3 linked regions of the Yarrowia lipolytica genome follow. The protein of the gene in region 3 interacts with the protein of the main gene of each other region in a pairwise test. Links are inferred from orthologs where the notes say so. Each region holds a gene or a part of one and is shown on either strand. Other genes may lie near its edges. The genes, in order: YALI1_F16035g, YALI1_E31075g and YALI1_F03735g.

Region 1 (5,280 bases), about 1.2 Mb from region 3:
AACGGCTTACGTAATCGCGAAACTGACCATAAGAAGATAATAACGGCGACAAAAAAGTCACATGAACAAAAATGGAAAAAAAGGTCCTATTGAGGAACAAGTACAGTACGAGTACAATACTGCATGTACTATACTGAAGCTAAGTAATTGTCTCACAATAAGTGTAAACTCCCAAGTGCATTACTTGGCTTTGGTTGCAACCACCAATACTCTAAACGTGTTTAATTAGTAATATTCGTGTAAGCGTACATTCATTTCAAAGGTTATTCTTTCACAGCAAAGTTATAATTAAATGAATGTATATGCAGAAAAAAAAAAAATCTAGGTACAAGTACAACCACTACATCCTATTATATATACATCCTAATATTATCATGTCATTGCTATATGCTCAAACTCATACGTCTAGTTGTACAGGTCATCCTCCTGGTCAGCACCAAAAGCAGTGCCGGCACCAGCGTCGGCGGCGGCAGCCTCACCAGCAGCGTCCTCGCTGAACCGGAAACCAATGTTTCCTCGCGACGACTGGATCTGCTGGGCATAGGCCTCGTATCGACGCAGCTCACTGTCGCTGACAGATCGCTTGGCGGTCTTCATGGCCTCCTCAAAGTGGGCCCGGGTGATGTAAGGAACAGGGTCTTCCATCTCCACGTCCTCGTTGCCGGCAGCCTCAGCCTCCCGCTGGGCGGTGATGGCAGCCTCAATGGAGTCCTTGATGGCAAACTTGGCAGATCGCTGCACAATGTACGACAGATCGGCACCAGTGAAGCCATGGGTAGACTTGGCAAGCTCCTGCAGAGACAGACCGGGCTCGAGAGGGGTCTTTCGCAGCTGCGCCTTGAGAATGGACAGTCGGCCGGCCTCGTCGGGCAGAGGCACATAGATGAGCTGGTCCAGTCGGCCGGGTCGCAGCAGAGCAGGATCAATCTGGTCGGGCCGGTTGGTAGCTCCAATGACGAACACGTTCTTCTTGGCGTTCATACCGTCCATCTCGGTCAGCAGCTGGTTGACAACTCGGTCGGAAGCTCCACCGGCATCGCCAACAGAGCCACCTCGGGCCTTGGCAATGGAATCCAACTCATCGAGGAAGACAACACAAGGAGCGGCAGCTCGGGCCTTGTCGAAAATGTCTCGGATGTTGGACTCTGACTCTCCGAACCACATGGACAGCAGCTCGGGACCCTTGACGGAGATGAAGTTTGCAGACACCTCGGTGGCAACGGCCTTGGCAAGCAGAGTCTTACCGGTACCGGGGGGACCATAGAACAACACACCCTTGGAGGGAGACAGGCCAAACTTGGTGTACATCTCGGGGTGCAGAACGGGGTACTCGACGGTCTCCTTGAGCTCCTGCTTGATGCCGTCGAGACCTCCAATGTCCTCCCAGGTGACGTTGACGGACTGAACAACGGTCTCTCGGAGAGCAGAGGGGTTCGAGTTGCCGAGTGCGAATCGGAAGTTCTCCATGGTGACTCCAAGGGAGTCGAGCACCTCGGCGTCAATGGTCTCCTCTTCCAGATCAATCAGATCCATCTTCTCTCGGATCTGCTGCATGGCTGCCTCGGAACACAGAGAGGCAATATCGGAACCGACGTAACCGTGAGTCTCGGCGGCAATGGTCTCGAGATCAACGTCGTCGCCAAGCTTCATGTTCTTGGTGTGGATTCGCAGAATCTCAAGTCGACCGGTGGGGTCGGGAATACCAATGTCGACCTCTCGGTCGAATCGGCCGAATCGACGCAGAGCAGGGTCGATGGAGTTGGGCCGGTTGGTGGCGGCAATGACGACAATGTTGGCTCGGGCCTTCATTCCGTCCATGAGAGTCAGCAGCTGGGAAACCACTCGTCGCTCAACCTCACCGTTGGTCTTGTCTCGCTTGGGGGCGATAGAATCAATCTCATCAATGAAGATGATGGCAGGAGAGTTCTTCTCGGCCTCCTCGAAGGCCTTTCGCAGGTTGGACTCGGACTCACCGGCCATCTTGGACATGATCTCGGGACCGTTGATCAGGAAGAAGAAGGCTCCGGTCTCGTTGGCCACGGCTCGAGCCATCAGGGTCTTACCAGTACCGGGGGGACCGTACATGAGAATACCCTTGGGGGGCTTGATACCAATAGACTTGAACAGCTGGGGGTGCCGCAGAGGCAGCTCGACTAGCTCTCGGATCTGGGCCATCTGCTTTCGCACGCCTCCAATATCGTCGTAGCCGACCTCGTTGAGGTTGCCCTCCTCGTCCTCTCGCTCAATGGGATCGCCCTCGCAGTGGATGACGGTATCCTGGGCGACAATGGCGTACTCCGGGGGGTCGACGTCGACAACCTTGAACTCGACTTGTCGCATACCTCCTCGCACGGTGAACAGATCGCCCTTTCGCACGGGTCGGTAAGCCTCGACAAAGTAGGGCTTGAGGAAGACGTCGAACAGCGAGCCGGTCAGACCCTCAATGGTGTCGGAGATGGGCAGACACGAAATTCGGGTGGCGTACTTGATGTCGGGGCAGGGGTGGACCGAAACCACGTCTCCGAGCCGGACTCGCAGGTTGCCTCGGACGCATCGGTTGATTCGGCACACGCCGTCCTCGAGTTCCTCGTCGGCCAGCACAATGAGCACCGTGTCCTTTCGCTTCTTGCCCTTGACCAGCACTGTGTCGCCCCGGAACAGCTGGAGCAGATCCATGGTTGCTGGCGACATGCAGATGATGGAGTTGTCATCGTTGGTGGCATCGTCCACGACAAGAGCTATGTTAGTATGATTGATTGCTTGCTGGCTTGCTTGCGGTTTTCTCTGCTGGGGTCTCATGTTTCTGCGGGCAGACCACCACATAACCCACGTTGCCGCGCCACCCGAAATACTCACCATTGTCCTTCTTTTTCTTTCGCAGAATGGCGGTGGCCAGAGAGTCGTCGGCGTTCTCGGCAGCACCGGAATTGTCGATCAATCGCTTCGATTCTTCGGTATTGTCAGTCATGGTGATGTGTACAGTGCAGAGTTAAGACAAGTGCGTTTGCCACAGTTAAAAGTGCGAGTGCCAGGACCTACCAGTTAAGGTTCGGGGTAGACAAGTAGACAAGTGTGAGAGACGGAAGGGAGTAGGAAACACCCACGTAACTGGACCGTGGAGGAATGATCCATGAGAAAGAATATTACATGGCGACACACAGCCTTATATAGATTGGCTCTGTGCAATTTTCCGTCTCTAAAACCCCCAAATCATCCCGACAACGTGGCCTCTACTCAAGACCTTCCAGTACCTTCGTCAGAGCAATTGCCTAATCTACCGTGGTGAACTTTGTCCACCCAGCCTCAACAGATCTCATCCTGCCCAGACGGCCGGGCGTACTGGGAAATGGTGATTATATAAGCTTATAAGAACGGGATGGAAGGTGTCGTGGCGTTTGGGGGGCTCTCCGTCCTCCGATTAGTCAGCAACATGCCTCTCTAGGCCCATGTCTCTTGGGAGACCCTTTCGACCGCCCTCCTCCCCTCCCTCTCGTACTGTCGTCATAGTTGCAGCCGATAAGCCAACTAGGGTTCAAAATGACAGCTCACCATGGAGCTGCTTAATCAGCTTAGTCAGCTGTGGGGGGCGGCGGGGGTCTCGTGGAACATGTGGATTTGGAGGAATATAACCGAGTCCGGATTAGTCACGGTGGTCCAGGGTCATGACCAATTCTCCGACTCCTTGTCAGCTTGCCCAATCCACCTTATCACGTGATCTACAAGTAGCTCCCTGTGCGTACACCATGCATACATTGCCCATCCTACTTATTTACATCCCACCAGTGATCGGACCATTTCAATCGGGCAATTTTCTGATTTTTTCGCCGCATGACTTCTTTCTTTGTGTCCACGTTCAACTGTGGCAAGCTCACCCAGGACACGCAGTACTACCAGCATTTGTCCGCCGAGTTGGCAGGGATTGATGCGCCCCATGTCTTGTTGTTTGGGTATCAGGAGCTGTGTTCGATTCCCGATGGGTGTCTTGGATATGCGGTGGATCCGCTCAATGATCTGATTCAGCAGGTTCTCAAGGCGATCAGGGACCAGCCGTGGCTCGAACGATACGTGGTGGTTGGTCAACACACGTTTGGAGCCATGGGTCTGGTGGCAATAGCGTCGGCAGATGTGCTTGTCACCGACGTCAAGTTGTGCCACGTGGCGTGCGGCATGTTCTGGTCGTCGCTCAAGGGCGCCGTGGGTCTCCGACTCAATGTTGATGGCAATCCCGTTGTGTGTGTGGCTGCGCACCTGGCGGCCAATGAGGGCTTTTTGGAGCAGCGCAACGACGATTTCGCCACCATTGCCAAGGAAATGAAGTTCCTCGACCCACGCACAGGCATCTACGATGACGCCACGGTATTCTTTTTGGGTGATCTCAACTACCGAGCGTCGGAAAACGAGCAGGGACTCGCTGACTACAAGGTGGTAGACGAGCTGTTTTACGCCATGAGGTCGCTCGATGCCTTCTGGGACTTCCAGGAGGCCGAAATCGGATTCAAACCAACCTACAAGTTCCACACCGGAACGTCCGAATACAACACCAAGCGAATTCCGTCCTGGTGCGACCGAGTGCTGTATAGAGGAGCAGTGGTGCCCCGGAAATACGACTCGATCCCCGCCGTCATGTCTTCAGACCACAAGCCCGTGTACTTGTGGGCGTCGGTGAAACTGACCCAATCCACCGCTGTTGAGCAGGGCGATGTTCCTCCTCATATTCTGTCTGCTGCCCACGTTTCCGAACTCTTGCATATCCGAACGTCGATCATGGACTACATTATTGCGCTGGGACTGTTGGGTTTCACCACGAGAATGGGCTGGATTTCCATTGCGGGTTTCTTGTTGTTTGCGTGGGCGTTGTATAGGTAGTGTGAGCGAGTGTGAACGTGACCAACGTGAACTTGGCCAGCGTGAACTTGACCAACGTGAACTTGACCAGCGTGAACTTGAGCGAGCGCGAACCTGCGCCAGACACAACACTGTCTATTTCATCTATTTCATCTGCTCTGCTGTCACAGTTTACTCCACCCCACCCCACCCCAACTACAATAACTACAGGACTATGATTCAGCGACCGGCTGACAAAATATTTTATTTAATCATTACATTAACTGCACGCACGGCAGCGAGTGTATCAGGGCAGGGCGGTACTTGATGAGGCCACTTGGAGGTCTTGGAAATGCTTTGACAGATTTGAGAATCGACAGTTTATTGCGTCAACTGAGTCGATTGCTTCGACGAGAACTGTCCGCAAGTGCCAGCGACGAGATCTGGAACGGCTCG
Region 2 (4,386 bases), on a different chromosome or scaffold from region 3:
GAACCGAGTTCGAGAGGTCATGATCACACGACTGAGCCAGAACAAGCATCATCATAGCGTTCCCAATATTGGAACTCCAGCGGTAGGTACACCTCGTGACACACCTCGAGAGACCCCCCGAGAAACCCCTCGAGAAACCCCCTTGGCCACTCCTCTAGGCAATCCTTCGCACCCTGAGTTATCTTCTCGAGCCAGTCTTCCCAATGTTCATACTGGGTCTCCTAGACGATGTTCGGAAGGAGACACCACTCGAGAGAAGGCTTGTGTTCCTGATTTGGTGGTCAATGATACAGACACACCCCATGCTCTGCACCACAGTTCTGATGACACTTCAGACTCGGATGACTCGTCTCAGGAGATTGAGATTGTGCCTCGAGCCCGAACACAGCAGCAGCAGCAGCAGCAGCCACACGACTACCTCCAACATCGAGCCGTCGTGTTGCAGCAAAAGTTCATGTCGTGGAGTGCGACTTCTTCGGCCGTGGAGGAGGTCATTGAGTACGTGGAAGAGTTGGCTGATCTCACAGCGCTGCTTGTGGGTGTCAACAAATTCAAGTACGGCTTTCTTTCGCGTCCCATTTACGCTGAATGGGCTGCTTCGGCAGCTCGTGCTTACGACGAGGTTCTGGCTCCCCACGATCCTCTCAAGGCTGACAACGACGATGAAGAACCTGACGAGACACCCCATGAGCTACGAACGGCAGCTGATCATACTCCAGACATTCTGGATCGAGATCATATCCCAAGAGGCCTTCGAAAGCGGGTCTTTTCTGTCGTGGAACACAATGGACAGATCTATGGAGGAGGCGAGCACCAGTACAACATGGTTCCAGGCATGCCTGCAGTTGACCGAACGACTTCTAGACAGTCTCAAAAGTCAAACAAGTCGCACTTATCGCAGCCGGTTGCTCGCAAGACCTCCAGTAATGCCTCCATGCCTCCTCTTACACGACGGCAGTCTATTCGGTCTGTGGTTGGAGCTGTCAATGACAGTCCGGAGCCCGAGAGTAAGTACTTGACATTGAGACGGCGAATGGGACGCAAGATTAACAAGAAGCATTAGCATAATTATTTATTTGTTTTGACTATATGAGCATGTAGATGCCATTGTACAAGTAGCATGCCTGGGTTGTGGAGAGCAAGCCCACGAAGATGACCCAAGTGACAAGATGATAGTGAAAAAAATCTACTGTAGTGCTTCTCGTCCACAATTTGAAGCGATACATACGCATACTTACTGTAGTACCCCCAGTACATCGTATTTATTGTACAGTATTACGTATGTACGATACACTCAGCCTTCAAGGCGTTTCAGTTTCGTAGTTTATATATTTACATTTTTTAAATCAAGTATATATTATTTACAATCTACATGTACAAGTATGAGTATTACCATTTACTTCTCCTATTTTACTCATTCAATATAATAACTTGGGTTGGTTGCCCAACACATATAAATACAGATATATAAGTCTGCCTCTAATCCACAGCCGTCTTGGCCATGGTTAATCAATGACCACCATTTCGGGACTGGTGGGCTTCTTGGGGGTTCCTCCCGCAGCTCCAGCCGACGAGTTGCGCTCCTTGCGTTTTCGACTTTCTCGCAGACTCTGGCCTGTGCCCGAAAAGTGGGGCTGTTGCTGCTGCTCCTCGGTCTGTGTCTCTTCGTCTTCAGAAGGCTTGACAGGCACTAGGGGGAAACCAAAGAATAGCTGCCCAAAAGGGAGACGTAAAGGCTGGGGGTTCGCGTCTGTGTCTGTTGATCCCAGACCCACGAGCTCCTTGAAGTGCTCGTCGAGGGAGGCCTCTTCTTCAGGCTTGACGGCTTTTCCAGACAGCTTCTGGCCGCCACCGGAAAAGGTGTTTTTAGAAGCAGACTTAATGGTCTGTTGGGCGAGCTTCGAATAACCAATAGACTGGGCCATGGTTCCCGCGGCTGCCATTGGTGCAGGAGTAGAAGATCCACTGGTACCAGGTGTCTTGATGGCTCTTCCGTAATTGGAGTCACTCTGGGTGGAGGGATCCACGTAGCCCACCGGAGGCGCAAAGTCAACCTCAATGTCCGTCTCCACACAGCACACCGAGTGCTTGTCCTCCAGGTCGGGCTTGACCTCCAGCACCTTCATTCCATATGTCTTGTCGTTGTAGCTGAACTTGAACACGTCTCCGACTGTGAGGGTCGAGAAGTTCTGGAATGATCTCTCCAGCACTGCTCGGGGGTCGGAAATGTCCAGAAAATCAACGCTCTGGGGTTCAAACTTGACAAACTTACCCAGTGGCAAATCACAAGACGAAATTTCCAGCAGAGATCCAGGACCCACATCCAGAGTCTCAATGATCCATTGGGGCAAGTAGACGCGGCCCTCCTCGGCAATGAACTCCAAAACGCCACCGTACGTCACATTGTCGTTCTCCTCGCTTTTGAGCTGGAACAACATCGGGTACGAAATGTGCAGCATACTGAGCTTGGAAAGTGCCGAGGGAGGCAAAAAGATCTTGCCACCGTAGTTGGCAGACTCTCGGTCCTTACCGGGCATCATGGCGATGGGGTAACATCGGTAGTAGTCCTGAAACTTCTGGGTTCGGTTTCGGAAAGGCGTGGCGCCCCATTGTGCAGTTCCTCCAAACATGATGTGTGTTATCAAAAAGAAGGGTCCGATGGTGAGAGCTATGATCCAGAGTTTGGGGCTGCATATGACGTAGAGGTGTGCATACCACAAGTAAAATAAGAAAGTGGGTAAAGTGGCAAAATAACGGGCTGAAGACTCAAAATCAGAGAACCAATTAATCTGTGTATGTGGCGAAAAATCAAGTTACATCAAGTTACACTCCCGGCACCACTCCGTTAGGCAAAAAAAAGAGAGCTGGGAGGTTCGAACTCACGCCTCTTTCGACACTAGAACCTGAAGCTAGCGCCTTAGACCACTCGGCCAAACTCCCAAACAAGCTTAAATTAAACCTTATTTCCGTGGGGCATTTTCCCTAGAATAAAATGAATCATGAAAAATGAATCATTAGAATTAAAAAAAAAATTAGGAAAAAAATAATCTCACCCTCATCTAGAATGAAAAAAAAGCGCTGTCTTTCCTTAGTTCAAAATAATATAAAGAAAAACTGCAAGTTGGAGAAGTTAAAAATGGACGTTTAGAGGTTACGTAAGTGAGGTATGTACTATTTGTGCAGTATGGCTAATCGAAGCTGAGCCTTGCCAGCTTCCCGTTTAATACTCTCTATCCACCAATATTTCCCGTTGAGGTCCTCAATGATTTGTTGCGTGCGAGCATGTGAACCGTGAGCAACTGCGAAGACACTGATGAACACAGCTCAAATTCATCAATTTTTAGTCGCGCTGTAACGCCTTCGTATCCCCATCAGTGACTCACTCGTAATCCACCCCTTCAATTAGTATTATACTCAATAAATAACATATATACGGGTCTCCTTCAGACATCATCCTATCGTACACATCATCTTCGTCGTCGTCATAGTCGACGACATTTCTTATTCGTCACTCTTTTCGGCCCCTGTCTCTCGTCATCGTCTAGATAAATCCAAAATCCTCACCCTGTAACTGACTGGGTCGCATGTACTGAATGACTCCTCCAACAGTCTCATCAGCAACACCAATTGTCAACTGCTGGTACTCGCCCAGCGAACACGACTGAGTGAATCTGACGCCGGCGGTGCCTCCAAAGAACTCGATCGTCTGTCTGGACGTACATTCCGACCACGTATCGATAACAGTCACGTAATCGACCGGCTCGGCAATAGCAAGATATCTTCCGGAAGCATCAAAATCCACGGACCGAATAGCTGCCTGCAACTTTCCCGAAACGGCGCCGATGCATTGGTTGGACGCTCCTCGGATGTCGTACAGACGGCAAGTTCCGTCCTGGTTGCCTGTAGCCACTGTTTTGCCATCGGGAGACCAGGCACATGCAAATCCGAAGTCCGTGTGACCCTGCAATGACATTTGCAGTTTACCCGATCGCGAGTCGTAGACGTGCGACTCCTGCGAGTCACAAGCCATGACGCAGACATTTTCCGAGCCTGGGAGAAAGGCCGTAGCATTAGCAGCATAGTTGAGTGTAATGGAGTCTTTTGCCTTAAGAGTGTTCAGGTCCAGAGTCCGAAGAACGTTGTCGTTGCCTGATATCAGGGCTGAAGAGGACAACAAGGAGATGTAGTTGACCTGTAGTTCGTTACCAGACGATATCATGCCCGAAGAGAGAAACGATTTCTTTTCTGACGACGACGTTTCAGCCAACGGTTTCACCACAAACACGCCCTTTGTGCTTCCCAGCATAACCACGTTCCTGTTAGCTGCTAAGGCGGACACTCTCAATTGCTGGAGAGATGGGTCACACATTTCAGGTGATATTGCGA
Region 3 (4,233 bases):
CAAGACCCAGATTCCACAGTACTCCAAGATGTTGACCGATGAGTACGGAACCGCCTCTAACATCAAGTCTCGAGTCAACCGACAGTCGGTGCTCTCCGCTATCACATCCACTCAGCAGCGTCTCAAGCTGTACAACCGAGTGCCCACCAACGGTCTGGTTATCTACTGTGGAGACGTGATTACTGCCGACGGCAAGGAGAAGAAGATGTCCATTGACTTCGAGCCCTTCAAGCCCATCAACACCTCTCTTTACCTGTGTGACAACAAGTTCCATACCGAGGCTCTGTCAGAGCTGCTGGAGTCCGACTCCAAGTTTGGCTTCATTGTCATGGACGGTAACGGAGCCCTGTTCGGTACTCTGTCCGGAAACACCCGAGAGGTTCTGCACAAGTTCACCGTTGATCTGCCCAAGAAGCATGGTCGTGGTGGTCAGTCCGCGCTGCGATTCTCCCGACTGCGAGAGGAAAAGCGACACAACTACGTGCGAAAGGTGGCCGAGGTGGCTGTCCAGAACTTCATCACAAACGACAAGGTCAACGTCAACGGTCTGATTCTGGCCGGTTCTGCCGACTTCAAGACCGAGCTGAACGGCTCTGATCTCTTTGACAACCGTCTGCACGCTAAGGTCATCAAGACTGTCGATGTGTCGTACGGAGGAGAGAACGGCTTCAACCAGGCCATCGAGCTGTCTGCCGAGACTCTGTCCAACGTCAAGTTCGTTCAGGAGAAGAAGCTGCTGACCCAGTACTTCGACGAGATCTCCATGGACTCTGGAAAGTTCTGTTACGGCTACGACGAGACTCTCAAGGCCCTGGATCTCGGAGCCTGCGAGACTGTCATTGTCTACGAGAACCTTGACATCCAGCGAATGACTCTCAAGAACAACGATGGCGAGGAGACCATTGTGCACATCAAGAAGGGAACTCCCACCGAGGAATACCTGATCGACAAGGAGGGTAACGAGCTGGAGGTGGTCGACGAGATTCCTCTGCTCGAGTGGCTAGCCGAGCACTACAAGGACTTTGGCGCCCAGCTGGAGTTTGTCACAGACCGGTCCTCCGAGGGTGCCCAGTTCGTCCAGGGCTTTGGTGGTATCGGCGCTCTGCTCCGGTACAAGGTCAACTTTGAGCAGCTCGTGGAGGAGTCTGACGACGAGTACTACGACGACTAAGAGACTAATGTGCATCACAAAAATGTTACGTAACAAAATTATAGTGGAGAGAGACTGGATGAACGACGTGACTCTCCGATTATAGATTATGGATGGGTTATTATTAGGTGAAATAGTTGATAGTGCCTTGCCACAACACTGGTAAATTAATACAACGGATGGTGACAATGACAACAAAACAATGAGCAAGTAAATCACAGCACACTGGAAGGCCAAGTACAGTCACCAGTATCTGTACAGTAAAACGCGACACATTAATTGGAGGCCAATAAAACTAACTACGACGCTTACTGTAGCTCTGGACATCAGAACAACACCATCCCTATTGGTCCAGTCGCCTACAGCGGTACAGGACGACTACATACAGCACACTTGAAATTCACTTGCTACTCTGACTGTACACCATTCATATGCAAATTGATAGAAGCTAATATACACCCTCCATCTGTCCATCCCTCGTTTTCTATTCATCATTTTCGTTAATTTTGTGCTTTTTGGCAACAGGGGTGGTAAACTCGGGCTTCACAGGATTCACTAACGGCTTGGACAATGGGCTGGGGGGAATGTTGGTGGACTTGGGGTGCATGGGAGGACGTGGTTTGGCAATAGGCACACTCCTATTATGCTCCAAGGTGCGCTTAATGGAAGGACTTTGGATGTTGATGTCAAACGCGGCATTCTGTGAAATGGGACTGCCCTTGTTGATATCTGCCGCAACGCTGGCCTTGAAGAAGCCCACGGGGATAGGCGATCCGTCCTCCTCCATTGCCTCAGCCGAAATGGGCAGGTCTTCGTCAAAGTCCTCAGCGGAGATGGAGGGCGAAGGGTTGCGTCCGGCCTTGAGCTGGGGCACTAGGGAGTCGAGGTCGAGATCGTCGTCGTCAAATGAGTAGTCGATGCCCTCGCACATGGCCTCTATGGACACGGCCTTGCTGCGGTTGCTGGATGTGTTTGAATGACCGTGGAGGCTGACGGAAGGCGCAGGAGGGGCAGGGGCAGGGGCTGGAGCAGGAGGATCCTGATTATGCGAGGTGGTGGATGTGGATGTAGATGCAGTAATGTTGGCAGCAGTGGCCTGCTCCTGCTTGATATCACGCTTGATGACAAATTCTGGCTTTCGAATCAGATTATTCTCATCAAACGTGTACTTGGCAGATCGCACCGTCTTGAGCTTGCTCAGGTATTCCGAGTCGTACAGACAGTTGCCCAGAGAGGGGCCAAACTGACGCATGGCTCGCTTAAATGCATCCGTCACAGCCTCCTTGCGCGACTTGTTGAGCGCCATGTCTCGCTTGGGGCAGTTCTCGACATTGCCGGACCCCGTGTCTTCCCGATAGGTGCCGTCCTTGAGATGGACACGAACAATAGCATAGACGCCCACGTCCCATCGCTTTGTGTCGGGGTTCTGGTCGCAGTAGTCGACCTCCAGCTTGATGATCTGCGACCGCCAACCGTTGAAGCCGAAGATCTCGTTGGCCAGATTGAACACCTTCCAGCCCTCCAAGTAGTGCACGCTTCGACCTCCCGGACTGGGCCGTTTGGAGACAAATTCGGGGCCCAGGTTGTGTTTGAGCAGATCAGACACCTGTCGCTCCTCGCTGCGCGAGTAAGGAATGTTGGGGGCGCCCCCAGAGCCCGTGGTGATGGCTTTGGGTGGATCAGGCAGCGCGTAGTGGTCTCCGAACTGTGGCATTGCTAGTAGAGCGGGTGGCGTTTTTTGATGCAATTAGGAAACAAGGTGGTTAGTGTTGTGGTACCGGCGGAAACGAAGTCGTTTCGTTACGATCAGATGCTTGTCACTGAGGAAGTAGTTTTTGTCAGGCACTTTTTTCTTACAACGAAAAAGCAGGTATCCTTGCAGGTGAACTTCTCTGGTGTGACGCGTCTATGTCGATGCAGGAAAAATACCTGCAATGTTATGATCAGAGTAAGCAGCTAAAAATGCAGTCTTAGAGGAGAGCAAGATATGGTACGGAGGGCGTGAAGATGGTGGGTGAGGAGAAAACAAGAGCAAGTTAGACATGAATAATGAGCATTAGCATTGCTTCAGCTTTGTCACCGCCCTTATAATCTTCTAAATAATACTCTTGAGGTGTTCCTGGTTCAGTCTTGAATTTTACAGTTTTAGTGTCAACACGTCCACACGCGAAACGCTCTCTCGATTACAAATTCAAGCTTGCTGTGAGAACGCGGCGGGCGTAGATTGCCCCTACAACATGGCACGTGACCGGGAGACGTAGATATTGCTCTTCACAATGCGGTAACATCACCAGTGAAGAATCTGCTTACGTACAGCACCTACTTGCCTATATAAGGACTTCCACTTCTTAGTCACCAACTTTAGTTACTTAGCTTTAGATGTAAATTTGTTGAGAGAAGAAGTCAGCTAGGGGTAGCTATTTCGATCTTCCCGAAATGGTGTAACAAAAAGAAGGATATAATTGGATAGATAAAGGAGCGATGTTTCATATAAAGCAAAAAATGTATCTCTTCAGCGTCAATAAGTGGAGTTGGCGGCGTTGGAGGGGGCAAGGGATAAGTAAGCGCTGTTGGGATATTAGTTGTGATTTAGTTGGTAGTCTGAATATACAAGTACTGTAAATAACGTGTGAGAGGTTGCCGAAACTATATATAAATAAATTGTGGGAGGTGGCAGTTTCAGGGTCGCCGAGAAAACTAATAAGACAATGAATCAACCGACCAATATAAATCAACTGCAATTACTCCATTCACCTTCCCACTCCCTCCCCCTCCCGCCCACCAAGTATTCTCCTCTAACCTGTCTCCATCCACTGATTGTTACTCAAGCTTTCTGCATTGTTGTTTCTGCATGTTTGGATAGCCTCTGAAAAAGATTCTGGAAGCTTGCGAGATCAAGAAGTGAACCAAAACAACCACATAACCGCCGCAACCACCGCTACTACTAACGAATCTGCATCATCCAAACTAGAAGAAACGATTACCGACACATACTCACACACACAACTCACAATACACACACCACATGGTCAGCGTATCGCGAATGATGCCGGTGCCTAGTGCCCGGTCGGAACCCATCCCAT

The links.
Region 1: the proteins of YALI1_F03735g (region 3) and YALI1_F16035g interact in binary tests that used the Saccharomyces cerevisiae proteins (3 or more experiments, as listed by UniProt). The link is inferred for Yarrowia lipolytica from reciprocal best matches to the Saccharomyces cerevisiae genes RAD52 and CDC48.
Region 2: the proteins of YALI1_F03735g (region 3) and YALI1_E31075g interact in binary tests that used the Saccharomyces cerevisiae proteins (3 or more experiments, as listed by UniProt). The link is inferred for Yarrowia lipolytica from reciprocal best matches to the Saccharomyces cerevisiae genes RAD52 and UFD1.

The regions. Positions count from the first base shown.
Region 1 is NC_090775.1:1,600,713-1,605,992, forward strand, and holds YALI1_F16035g (uncharacterized protein), read right to left. Parts: upstream 2,860-5,280; coding exon 406-2,859; downstream 1-405. Other genes in the region: YALI1_F16045g (uncharacterized protein), read left to right, coding at 3,829-4,866; YALI1_F16058g (uncharacterized protein), read left to right, coding at 5,152-5,280. UniProt on the Saccharomyces cerevisiae protein: ATP-dependent chaperone which probably uses the energy provided by ATP hydrolysis to generate mechanical force to unfold substrate proteins, disassemble protein complexes, and disaggregate protein aggregates.
Region 2 is NC_090774.1:3,105,807-3,110,192, reverse strand, and holds YALI1_E31075g (uncharacterized protein), read right to left. Parts: upstream 2,631-4,386; coding exon 1,506-2,630; downstream 1-1,505. Other genes in the region: YALI1_E31131g (uncharacterized protein), read left to right, coding at 1-1,063; YALI1_E31050g (uncharacterized protein), read right to left, coding at 3,542-4,386. UniProt on the Saccharomyces cerevisiae protein: Functions at a post-ubiquitation step in the ubiquitin fusion degradation (UFD) pathway. Has a role in the endoplasmic reticulum-associated degradation (ERAD) pathway.
Region 3 is NC_090775.1:372,176-376,408, reverse strand, and holds YALI1_F03735g (uncharacterized protein), read right to left. Parts: upstream 2,865-4,233; coding exon 1,635-2,864; downstream 1-1,634. Other genes in the region: YALI1_F03765g (uncharacterized protein), read left to right, coding at 1-1,171; YALI1_F03722g (uncharacterized protein), read left to right, coding at 4,176-4,233. UniProt on the Saccharomyces cerevisiae protein: Involved in DNA double-strand break (DSB) repair and recombination. Promotes the annealing of complementary single-stranded DNA and by stimulation of the RAD51 recombinase.